Callithrix jacchus: one gene and its partners. The protein of the gene in region 1 purifies or fractionates together with the protein of each later gene. This does not show direct contact. Links are inferred from orthologs where the notes say so. Each region holds a gene or a part of one and is shown on either strand. Other genes may lie near its edges.

The links.
Region 2: the proteins of ELAVL1 (region 1) and IGF2BP1 purify together in Homo sapiens (co-immunoprecipitation; 3 studies listed by BioGRID and IntAct, with this or other methods). This does not show direct contact. The link is inferred for Callithrix jacchus from reciprocal best matches to the Homo sapiens genes ELAVL1 and IGF2BP1.
Region 3: the proteins of ELAVL1 (region 1) and BTRC purify together in Homo sapiens (affinity purification with western blotting; 4 studies listed by BioGRID, with this or other methods). This does not show direct contact. The link is inferred for Callithrix jacchus from reciprocal best matches to the Homo sapiens genes ELAVL1 and BTRC.

What each region holds. Positions count from the first base shown.
Region 1 is NC_133523.1:7,497,393-7,501,038, forward strand, and holds the end of ELAVL1 (ELAV-like protein 1), read right to left. Parts: intron 1,755-3,646; coding exon 1,430-1,754; 3' UTR 218-1,429; downstream 1-217. UniProt on the Homo sapiens protein: RNA-binding protein that binds to the 3'-UTR region of mRNAs and increases their stability.
Region 2 is NC_133506.1:117,295,784-117,300,119, forward strand, and holds the start of IGF2BP1 (insulin-like growth factor 2 mRNA-binding protein 1), read right to left. Parts: upstream 2,814-4,336; 5' UTR 2,258-2,813; coding exon 2,083-2,257; intron 902-2,082; coding exon 841-901; intron 1-840. UniProt on the Homo sapiens protein: RNA-binding factor that recruits target transcripts to cytoplasmic protein-RNA complexes (mRNPs). This transcript 'caging' into mRNPs allows mRNA transport and transient storage.
Region 3 is NC_133513.1:94,486,730-94,490,375, reverse strand, and holds part of BTRC (F-box/WD repeat-containing protein 1A), read right to left. Parts: intron 2,447-3,646; coding exon 2,197-2,446; intron 1,718-2,196; coding exon 1,599-1,717; intron 229-1,598; coding exon 118-228; intron 1-117. UniProt on the Homo sapiens protein: Substrate recognition component of a SCF (SKP1-CUL1-F-box protein) E3 ubiquitin-protein ligase complex which mediates the ubiquitination and subsequent proteasomal degradation of target proteins. Recognizes and binds to phosphorylated target proteins.

The DNA of each region.
Region 1 (3,646 bases):
CTATCTCACAGGCTTTCTCTTTTACCCTTCCTCCGGGCTCCCGGTTTAAAAGCCACTAGTCTGTGACTGCACATTCCTGCGTCACAAATTCAGAAATGCTTTTGCTTGAGGCAAGTATCGGTTTCTTAAGATCTTATGACTCCTCCCTGAATGTTGGGCCGTCTGCACCTTCCCTAACCAAAAAGAAAGAAAAGGTAAAATAAAAAACAAAACAAAATTCGAGCAAAACAAAATCAAATTTAATGGTCTTAAATGCAAAAGTAAAAACAAACAAAAAACACAAAAAAGCAAAAGAAAATTAACAGAACAGAACAACCCAAAATGTCAAGGCAGTTATGAAGAGAACTTTGAGGGTTAATCTTTAAAACTACAAATCAAAGGTTTTGGTTAATAGATAACTGGCAAGAAGTAAGTACTTTTCTGCTGAGTGTTCATACAAAAGCAAAATTTCAAAACAAAATCCGACTAAAATAGAAAAAGGTCTAAGCGCTCACGAGAAGGGATGCGAGAAATACAATGCTCAAATGTTTCTGTGTTATTAAAATACAGAGCCATCTTACGCCTCCAAGCTATGTTAAATGCTCTTAGAAATGGGAGAAATGGTCGTGAACAAGAGTATCCAATGTGGGGGGCGCCATGCATGCAATGTGTGGACAGAAACTCGGGGCGTCAGAGTAGCAACACATCTTCAGGCGTGCCTGGAGCTTAGATCTGACTCTGGAATATACTGGAGTTTCCCTGAAACTCTTTGGTCCGTTCCCATTGGTGCCTGGGCTTACAAAACACGTTTGTGTCCTTCTCTGGAGGGCCTGGCCCGGCATGTGGCCCCAGCCCCAGTGGTGGCCCACACTGGACGGGCCCGCTGCCATTCCCAGGACCACTCGGCAGAGCCCGGGACAGAGTGAGCAGGAGGTGGCAACGGGACCTGCTTGGAGAAGCAACTTCCTGTCAACCAAAGCATACACATTGCTTAAAATGGTGAAGCGGTTGAGAAAACGCACACTCAGCATCTGTCTAACATCTTTAGATTCAAAACTAAAACTAAAAGGTGATTTTTTTTTTTTTTGCTACCCGGTCTGTGGAGACACTGAATGAAACGCGTGTTAGACAGTCTTAGAGGTTAAAGCATGCTTCAGGTTCACCACCATCCAGAGGGACTGGTTAGTCAATGCAGTTCTACTTAGATTTCTGTTTAATAGATACCTTAAAGGAAATAACTTACGAAACTTAAGATTGGTCTAACATTGTGGGATTTCAAACATTTGAACATGTCGGTTGCATCCCAGAGTATAAAAACCTTCTCACTTCTCATTCAGACAAAGACAAACACTTGTGAAAACTGGCGCAAAATGAGTTGTACACTAACAAGAAAAGTTTCAACGCCTTCACTCTTAATTATCTATTCCGTACAAAAAAAAGCATGAGCGAGTTATTTGTGGGACTTGTTGGTTTTGAAGGAAACCTGTAAGATCTTGTCCCCCAGGCGGTAGCCATTCAGGCTGGCTATGGCCATCGCGGCTTCTTCATAGTTTGTCATGGTCACAAAGCCAAACCCTTTGCACTTGTTGGTGTTGAAGTCGCGGATCACTTTCACATTGGTGACGGCGCCAAAGGGCCCAAACATCTGCCAGAGGATCCCCTCGTCGGCGTCCTGCCCCAGGTTGTAGATGAAAATGCACCAGCCTGAAGAGGCGTTTCCGGGCACGTTGACGCCAGAGAGCCCGCTCATGTGATCGACACCCATGGGGGAGAACCTGGCGAACAGAGAGCACAGTGTCAGGCCAAGGTTGGTGCAGGTGTCCTGGGGATGGGGCTTGGCCTGGATGCAGGCTGACCATGGCCGCTGGGCCCCTTCCCGCTCTGCGCGGCCACGAGGTGCTCACGGTCGAGACACTGCATGGGTCAAAACCATGACGTTTTTAAACTGGGAAGAATTAAATATGGTAGTGGAGGGTGGGACCCTGTTCTGTGAGGAGCTGACTTGAGAGGCTGGCTGGTGTCCTCCACTCTTCCCACTGTGTATGTGGGGGGGGTCTGTTTAGTGGCTTCTGCAGCTGCCCACAGTTTAGATGATGGGCACTTCTCCTGGTTCTTTTTTTTTGAGATGGAGTTTCACTCTGTCATCAGGCTGGAGTGTAGTGGTTCGATCTTGGCTCACTGCAACCCTCACCTCCCAGGTTTTAAGCGATTCTGCCTTAGCCTCCCAAATAGCCGGGATCACAGGCATGTGGCACCATGCTGGGCTAATTTTTTGTATTTTAGGAGAGATGGGATTTCACCATGGTGGCCAGGCTGGTCTTCATCTCTTGACCTCGCGATCTGCCCACCTCGGCCTCCCTAAGTGCTGGGATTATAGGTGTGAGCCACCAGGCCTGGCCTCCTGGTCCTTCTTTGAGGGTAAAAATACTCTAACAGCCTCAGCTGTCCCTGGAGGAAACTCTTCGCGTACTGTGAGGGTGCGTGCAGGGACTGGAGAACTCCTTTTTCCAAATTTTGCACCTTCCCCTCATCATGACCCACCCCCAAGGGTTCACAGTCCAGTGGTCTCTGGTTAGAGTACATCTATGCCACAACCACTGCAGGCATAAGAATTCATTCCCAAGCACCAGGCAACCAACCTTCTGTAGCTGGGGCCCAACATCCCATGAGGGCCAGGGGCCAAACCACTGAGGGCTGAGAACTCAAGGGACAAGGATGGGCTCTGGGACGCCAGCAGCTGCAGGCTCACCAAACTTGACCACACACATGGGGCTCTTTCCACAGCAATACTTTTATTCACATAAAAAACACCAGGCATGGTGGCTCAAGCCTAGAATCCCAAAACTTTGGGAGGCCAAGGCAGGAGGATCACTTGAGAGCAGGAGTTTGAGACCAGCCTGGGCAACACAGAGAGACCTCATCTCTAGGAAAACAACAACAAAACCTCAGAAAACTGAAACTCAACTAAAATAAAGCCTTCTGAAAATGTATAGATGATGCGATAAGGATTAAGGTAGATGACAACAGTTCCTAAAGCCATGCTGCCCTCTACAACTTTCTCAAATTACAAAACTAAAGGTCTGAGGGTCAGCTTGGGAATATCTGAGTACCAGCATCTGTGAAGCCACACGATGCATGCAGAGAAGCATTGCCTGTTCCAAAATAAAACTGGGCTTCAGGCTGTGGCCCTGTCAGCCAAGTGCAGCCCCTTCAGGCCCCATCTGGGGTCAGCGAATGCCTTCAAGTGTCATTAAACAGATTCACCTTCTCGACAAACATGAGAAGACACCAGCCCCCAAGGGACAGCTCACTAGCCCAAGGATGATTTTCTTTCTTTTTTTTTTGAGACAGGGCCTCACTATGTTGTCCAGTCTGATCTCAAACTCTGAGGCTCAAGTCATCCTCCTGCCTCCTGAGTAGCTGGGACCACAGGTACGTGCCACCATGCTGGGCTAATTTTTATATTTCTTTGTAGAGTCAAGGTCTCACTATGTCGTCCAGGCTGGTCTCAAATTCCTCGGCTCAAGTGACCCTCCTACCTAGGCCTCCCAAAGTGTTGGGGTTACAGGCTGAGTCAACACACCCAGCATTCTCAGAAATTACTCTTGTTGGTAGTTTCTCTCCTGCTGATTTCTTCGGTCTTGACAGTCATAAATCTTTACCCCTC
Region 2 (4,336 bases), on another chromosome or scaffold:
TATAGGGTATTGGAACACACACACACACACACACCCCATTAACACACACACACCCCATTCATCCACGGAGTTCACACACACACACACCATTCATCCACGGAGTTCTAGACCCTCCAAAGAGCCCCAGCTCACAGCCTCAACACAAAGCTCTCACCCCAGATGGTCCCCTTGTAACAATGGGCTGAAGGAGTGGGGGTAGGGGGGCTCGAAAAGGATAGTACAGCCAAGGCATATTCTTTGGAAAATCCAGTCAAGGAGGAGGATGATGTGAGATGTGAGGGATTGGGGATGGGGGGGCGGTCCATGGGAAATAAAAGTCTTTGCCTGTTACAGAAATATAAATAAACTACAAGCAAAAGGGGATTTTTGGGGGGCCAGGAAACTCATTCCACTCCGATTAGGGAGTAGAAGGGCAATCTACTTAAGAATTATGGTGTGGAAAGAGTGAGAAAAACAGAAAATGAGGCCTGCTACGAAGTTGCAGAAATCGCCATGAGTCTGAACTCTTCAAAGATTTCAAGGTTCCCCACAAAAAAACGGCCCCACAGCTTAAACTCCACAAGGTTTCTCCCCTATTTATTTTCTTTCCCCTTTAATTCTACAACTAACATCTTTTAGGCCACCCCAGCCCCAACTTTTTTTTTTTTTTTTTTTTTTTACAAGCTGTAAACCACCCATTACAAGATCTTGGCCAATCTTCCCTCCCTGCCCCCAACATCCGGAGTTGGGGGTGGGAAGACCAGTAATGGGTTTCTTCCACTGGAGACGCTATGGACCCCTCAACACAGCCTCTCAGTACACCCCCGCGCCCCCCAACCCGAGAAAAGAGCTCTTTCCTACCTTTGTTTTTTGGGCACCGAATGTTCAATCTCTAGGCGTTTTCCTTGTAATTCTACTTTCCCTAAAAATAAAAAAATAAAAAATTACTATAAGTGTGAACAGGGGTTAGGGGTGAGAAGAGGAAGGGGAAAGACACCAGGGTAATTCAGGAGTTACTGGGATTTCGAGATCTTCCTAGGAATCCAAGCAGTGGCTTCCATAGCAGGATGGGAAAAAGGCTGCTCTACGAATGGTGGAATCTATAAATTCGTTATTATTCATTTTGAAATTTTTGTTTTGTGTAATCACTGAGGCTTGTGGAGTGGGTCGCTCTGGAAGCCCGATTTGGTAAAGGTGCGAGTCTATTTGGGTGGCTGCGCTGCCTATAGAGTTCCCAGATGTGGGGAGAAGGAGCCTGGAGAGAAAGGGCTCCCCATTCCTCAGAAAGTGGGGCGGGGGGCGGAGGCGTTGTGTAGAACTAAACTTTATTTTTCTCTGTTGCCAGGAAGAAAGGCTTCGGGCCGCGGAGAGGTCACCTGTCGGGGCTGGTTTGGGAAGGGGTGGACCTGGGGGAGCAGAGCCTGGCCGGGCGGGGAGGGTCCCTCGCGGCCGCGGCGCGCGCCTCTCGGCCCAGCCTCGGCGTCTCGGGAAGCAGCATGGCGACCCGGCGCCGCCGCCGCCGCCGCGCCACCCCGCTCACGCCCCACTTTCAAATCAAAATGGCTCAAGCCCCAGGCCCTGGGCGAGAGGCGGGACCCCCTTCCTTGCAAGTCCTACTGGAGGGCTGCATTCCCCACGCGAAGCGGCTAGATCGCCCGCGGTGCGGGGACCCCTTCTACGCCTGGAAAGGCCTAAGACTGAGGAAGGGGAGCCAGGGTTTTCCAGCTGGGGGGCCGTCCACTGGCGGATAGGGAGGGGCTGGACGTGGAAATAACGCCAAGCCGAGGTCATCTTCATGTCCCTAAACTCACCCCCCACTACTGCCATTGGGGGCTCCCGCCCCGTCGGTAGGGAGAAGGGATGGGGGAAGCCAGAGCTTCTTATCTTAGACTGGGAGGAAATCCCGAATGTTTCTGCGCGGGGGTTGGGGGGGATACAGAGCGAGGGAGGGGGCATCGAAGGGGGTAGGTCGAGGGTGGGTACGGAGGCCAAGCCCCGCAGGCCCGGGAAAAGAGGAGTTGGCGGGAGAGGAACCGGAAGGTGCGGGTCTCCGTTGTTCGGGGCTCCCGTTGTGGCTTTTCCGGGAGATGGCTGTGCTCTTACCGGAGAAAGTTTCGATGGCCTTCATCGCCCAGTGCTCGTCCGGGCAGTCCACGAAGGCGTAGCCGGATTTGACCAAGAACTGGCCGCTGTAGGAGATCTTGTGCTCCGCAAATACTTTCTCCAAGTCTGCGGGGGTCACGCTCTCGTTGAGGTTGCCAATGTAAAGCTTGTTCATGGTGGCGGTCTCGGGGCAGGACACAGTCCTGGGCAAGGCCGAACGAGCGGGCGCGGGCGGCGAGCCTCCTAGGCCAAGAAGCGGAGAGGCCGGCGGCAGGAGCCGCAAACTTTCTTTGCACCCCACCCCAGAAGTTGTCCGGAGCCCAGGGCGGGGAAGGCGGCCTGAGGGCGCGCAGAGGTCGCGAGAGAGTTCGGGGAGTCCAGGAGAAGTGCCAGCGGCGCGCAGGGAGACGGACGACGCGGCGCGGCTCCTTCCCTTCGGTCCGAAACCCCTCCGAGAGGGCTGGTGTGTCACGTTTCTCCGCGGCCGCCCCGGCGCCGCCTCTAAATAAAATCGACTTGAAAAAAAAATGGAGCGGAAAAAAAAAAAAAAAAAAGGAGAAGCCACGTGGTGACAGCCCCCACCCACCCTGTAGGGGAAGACCCCCGACGCCACAGGGCCCCTGGGCCCTCCGGCCAAACCCAATAATCTCGCGCCTGAGGGTGGGTAACTCAACTCACCCCCGGGGTAAACTAGGACGGTGGGGCAGCGTCCCCGAAGCTCTACTCGCCCCTTCCCCCTTTGCAAGAACCTGGCCTCTAGGGAAGCGCCCCGCCCCCACCCATCCCCCTACCCCTGCCCGAACTGGGGGAGGATGGTCCAGCCCAGATTTCCTAAGTCTTAAAGGGTAAAATGTACGATTATTTTTTATTCGTTTTGCCGGGCGGAGTTGCTCACCCCACCCCGGTTAACTGCTAGCGACTGACAAGCAAGGGACGGCCGAGATAGACAAAGAGAAGCCGAAGACTCTGGGGTCTTCAGGAGAGGGTCGCACGAGCTGGTGATTTAAAAAGAAAGGCACCTTTTCCCTAGATGTTTAGATGGGGGGGGGTCTCCAATTTCCCACCCCAGCCCCTTGGAACTCCCCCGCCTCCGGGGATGCAGGACCGGGGGACCCTGCAAGCGCGAGACCGAGTAGCTGGGAACACGGGGGATCCTAGTTGAGAACGAGGAAGCCGCAGGAAATCATGTTTCGAGATCCCCACGGGAGAAAGGGTAGTTCGCACCCGGGGTCCGGCTGTTAAATGATAACGTTTCGGGGTCCTAGGGGGAACGCGCGGAACTGGCCGGAGATGACCCAAGGAGAGGGGGACGGTGGGAGAGAAGGAAGAGGGGTGGTAGCTGGAGCTAACCCGAGCGAACCGAAGGGGGAGGTCTTAGGGAGGGAGTGACCGGGTGGAGATTTGAATGGTCCCCTTTTCCCTCCCTGAGTCGGGGCAGACAGGTGGAGCTTCCAGCGTCCGCACCACCCGGACACCTCCGGCAGCTCTCTAAGGCCCTAGGTTCGGGTCGCCTAACTTTGTTTGGGGTGCAGGACTCCGTTCCCGGCGGGAAGGCGGGAGAGGGACGGAGGGCGGGGGGCTAAGCGCTAAGCCCCGCCCACGTCCCCAGGTCAGACCCGCGGGGGGAGGGGGTAATTTCCGCTCCGTTCTCGGGGAAGAGAGGGGCGGGAGCTTAGGGGAGGGGGCGGCAGCCCCTCCCCCCTCCCTCCGTTCCTGGGGAGGGGGAAGCGGATCCGCCCGGGTCCCTTCCCTCGGCTTTGACCAACTCATTCCGGATCCTCTGACTCCAGGAGCCCGAGGGAAGGACCGGACTGGGCTAGGGGCGACACGTGGGCGGTCGCACCCCATCTGGGCGGTGGGGGAGGGGGCGGCTAGCCGCGCGTTTCGGAGTCCCGGATACGCGGCTGAGAGCGGGACGCGCGGTCCACGCGCAAGCCCTGGCTCCACGGCTGAGCGCCGAGCGAGGCCAACGAGTTTCTAGCGGCGGGGGCTGGGATGGCGCCAGGGGTGGCGGAGAGCGCGGCCGGGAGACTATGGAACCCCCTCGCCTAGGGAACGGGGAAAAGCGAGGGTCGACCCCCAGAAATTCTGGAGTCCCCGTGATCAGGGCGGAAACTGGGTTATTACTCTGGACTCTGCAGGAGGGAGGATAATTCTGTCGGGGGTACGCGTGCTGGGAGGGCAGGTGAGGAAGGGGGTCACTCCCCTTCCCCAGTCCCCGACCCCATTGTCTCAGTCGCCTGCGGCCCGGGCC
Region 3 (3,646 bases), on another chromosome or scaffold:
TTGTGTAAAATCTATAAGCTTTTAGAAACAAGGAATGGTTATGTTTAACACCATAAACATAAGGAAGGATTAAGAGGTAGATTTTCTTTTTTTTTTAACACTGTTTTTTATACTCACCCATCATAGGCCCCACTGACTATCCTCTTGTTATCAAATCGAATACAACGCACTAATTCCTCATGGCCTTCTAACACTCGTAAACATGCACCACATTCTATGTCCCATAATCTGGAAGAGAAAAGTGAGTCAAGTGATTTTTCACATATTCTAAGTCTGGAGTGTTATAATAATACACTTCATATGCCTTCTAAAAACTCACAAAATAAAATCAATCACCACCCACATAGAAAGTACCATTTTCAATGTAATTTATTTCCTTTCTGCTATATAACTCATGCAGAAAAATGTAGGTTTAAGTTCAAATGTAGTATGTATTTTCAAAGTATAATGCTTTATATAATTCTGTAACCAGGTTCTTCCAGGCATAAAAATGATGAATTCAAGGCACACAGTTGCCTGAGAAGAAAATGACCAAACTAAGAAAGTAGTTTCCTGAAGTCACCATACAGATTATCAGTGATGTCCTGTTCTCACAAAGCACCTCTCCCTCTGCCACAGTGGACACTTCTTTCACCACTGTCCAGGACAGTTTTTCTCAGAGAATGGAAATGCAAAGCCAGTTCTCAAAAACTTTTGTGTACTAATTTTAAAAACTGTATATTCTGAAATTATTTTTCAGAACTTTTTAAAGTGATTTCTAGGAATAATTTCCTTAGATATAACAGTAGCTCTATCTGTTTTTTTTTTTTAGTGGCCTTTTCATCCTTTTAGTACTTCACTGAAGAGAGAGGATGGATAGATCTTTCAAATTCTATTAATATCCACGTCATTCATCTTTGTGAAGAGAAAATTAAAAAATGACTTCCAACTGTGAAATCTTCATAATTTCAAGGACAGGTAACTCTATGGCCAATTATGTAATGCTAAGACCAAAATTACATAATTTCTAGTAAGAAAACATATCTTTCTTTTCACTTCTTAAGTGGCAAACAATGACAAAGAGAAAACTTAATAGCATTTTGCAACTGTAGACAGGAGAAATTTAAAAAGAAGGGCAACGACAGGGCATGATGGTTCACACCAGCACTTCAGGAGGCTGAGGCCAGTAGATCACGAGGTCAGGAGTTCGAGACCAGCCTAACCAACATGGTGAAATCCCATCTCTACTAAAAATACAAAAATTAGCCGGGCGTGGTGGCACATGCCTGTAATCCCAGCTACTCAGGAGGCTGAAACAGTAAAATCACTTGAACCTGGGAGGCCAAGGTTGCAATGTGCCAAGTACACATTGCACCAAGTCACACCACTGTACTCCAGCCTGAGCAACAGTGCAAGACTCCAATTTCAAAAAAAAAAAAAAAAGATGGGCAACAAAAGGCTTTGTTGCTGCCTCTCTGCTTCTGACCTGTAAGAAGCTACAAAAAGGAAAAACAGTTGATTATAAACATAACAAAACTGAAGACTTGATTGATCTGTGCACTAATAATGAATGGGAGCATAATATTGATCATTTACGATAAAAGGCACTTGCTGCTCACCTAATAGTATTGTCAGATGAGCCACTCACTACCAGCCTGTCCCTGTATTGCAAACAGGCAATGCCTCGTTTGTGTCCATTTAAGGTCCTCACAAATTCACAAGTACTTGTGTTCCATACCTGAAAAAGAAAACGGCATTGAGCAATTGATTTGGTGCTTTTACTGGTAAAATCTATGGCAACTGGAGTCTTAGGGAAGCAGGAAATGAGACTGAACCATTAAAGGGAAGTCAAATTCTCAAACAGAGCAAAAGACAATTTAAATTCATGGTAATAGAGGCTAATTTGCTGTTGGCTGTTATCAAGAAAATTCCTCAAACTGATTTTCTCTTCTAGGGTTAGTCTGATCTTGCAGATACATTTTTCTTGACCCTACATTTGCCCCTGCCCTTCTCACACTCACCATTATTTATAAGAATAAAATACCTAGCTCATATTGTCACACATCTCATTTATTACCTTTTCACTTGTAGACTAGTCTCTGAAATAAATACTACATATTTCTTCAGTGATGTTTAAATATGACATTGCCCTTGATCACATTTTCATATGAATTCCCCTATTCTAAGTTGGAGACTTACTGAAAGATACCTGATTACCTTTATAGTTCTATCCCCAGATGCAGAAACGATGTACTTGTCATCAAAGTCTACAACATTGACAGCAGCTCGGTGTCCAACCAGCACCCTCCGGAGGGTAATGTCAGTTGGGGAGGCCATATCCCATACAGCAATGGAACGATCTTTGGAGCACGTCACCATCATGCCATTATTGAAACGCAAGTGCAGAACTGCTTCACAATGGTGAATCAATGTGTTTAGCATTTCACCTGTATTTACATCCCACACTCTGGAAGTGACACATGAGACTTAGAAGGTACTCAAGCTACAATCTGTTATCTATATTTGACCATCATATGCCCTGCCACTCCTCATATTTTCATGGTAAGTGTTATAATTCTACTCTTTAATTCCTTTGCAGCACTAAGCTGCGGTAAATACTGATGGATTGTGGGAAAGTGGTAGAGAGAAGCCCAGACTGGGAGAGTGGGAGAAGGAAGGGGATGGGATGTTGCCAGTGTGTCCTTTAGACACACTGCTTGAAATATGGGCAAGTTGTGGAGGGCAAGGATGAGGTGGCAGCCACTGTCACCTAATAATTTGGCCCAGACTTGAAGATTATTATAAAACTTCTGACATTCAATTTGATACCATTAATAAGATACATTTTAAATGGGGAATCTGATTAATAACAGTAGCATTAGTGCCCATCCCAATAAAACCCTCAGGAGCCAGAAATGACATAGGTCAAGATGCTTCTGTCACATACTTAGCAATGCAAATTTGAGTTTGATTTCCCTGGATCTCAGGTCTTATCATAGAGGTCAAAGGCCAAGATAACCACAACTCTTAATTATAAGCCCCCCATTTCTGTGCTTTGAAGTGGGTACAGGTTTAAAATAGCCCTCTCATTGTAAATACAGGCTTCACAGAAGAGTGTGGGGCCACTGGATAGCTTGGGAATTTTGTGTGATGACATATTTGATTATTCTATTTTTGTGTATTTACTTTGGGTTTTATAACATGTTATTTCCTTTTTCCAGTTTAGCCCCCTTTTATGGAATATCATTTTTTCTTTATCTTATAAATGATGTTAGCATCTACAGTATTTCAGATTCAGTGAGGCACTTGCTCCACAAGCACCAATAAATGTTAAATGTCAATAATTACACGGACCGAGTTTGCTATGCCTTTAAGTCAAAAGACAAAAACCACAAACAGTCTTTTCTATTCACAGAGGATAACTTGGAATGGTAAACATTTAACTTCAGAGTATCGAACAATGCAGTTAACTGCTTTTTTTCCTAGGTTTATTTTTTTTTAAAGTTACTTTTGATGCATTATGTTTGCTAAATACTTCAGCTTAAGGCAAAATTCCTAACAGAAGTTCCCAGCAGTGCTGCTGGTACCCAGAACTCAAGCTATCCTGGACTCCAGCAGTATAATGGCTGTGTCATCAAATCACTAACGCCTCTGGAAATTGAGGGCC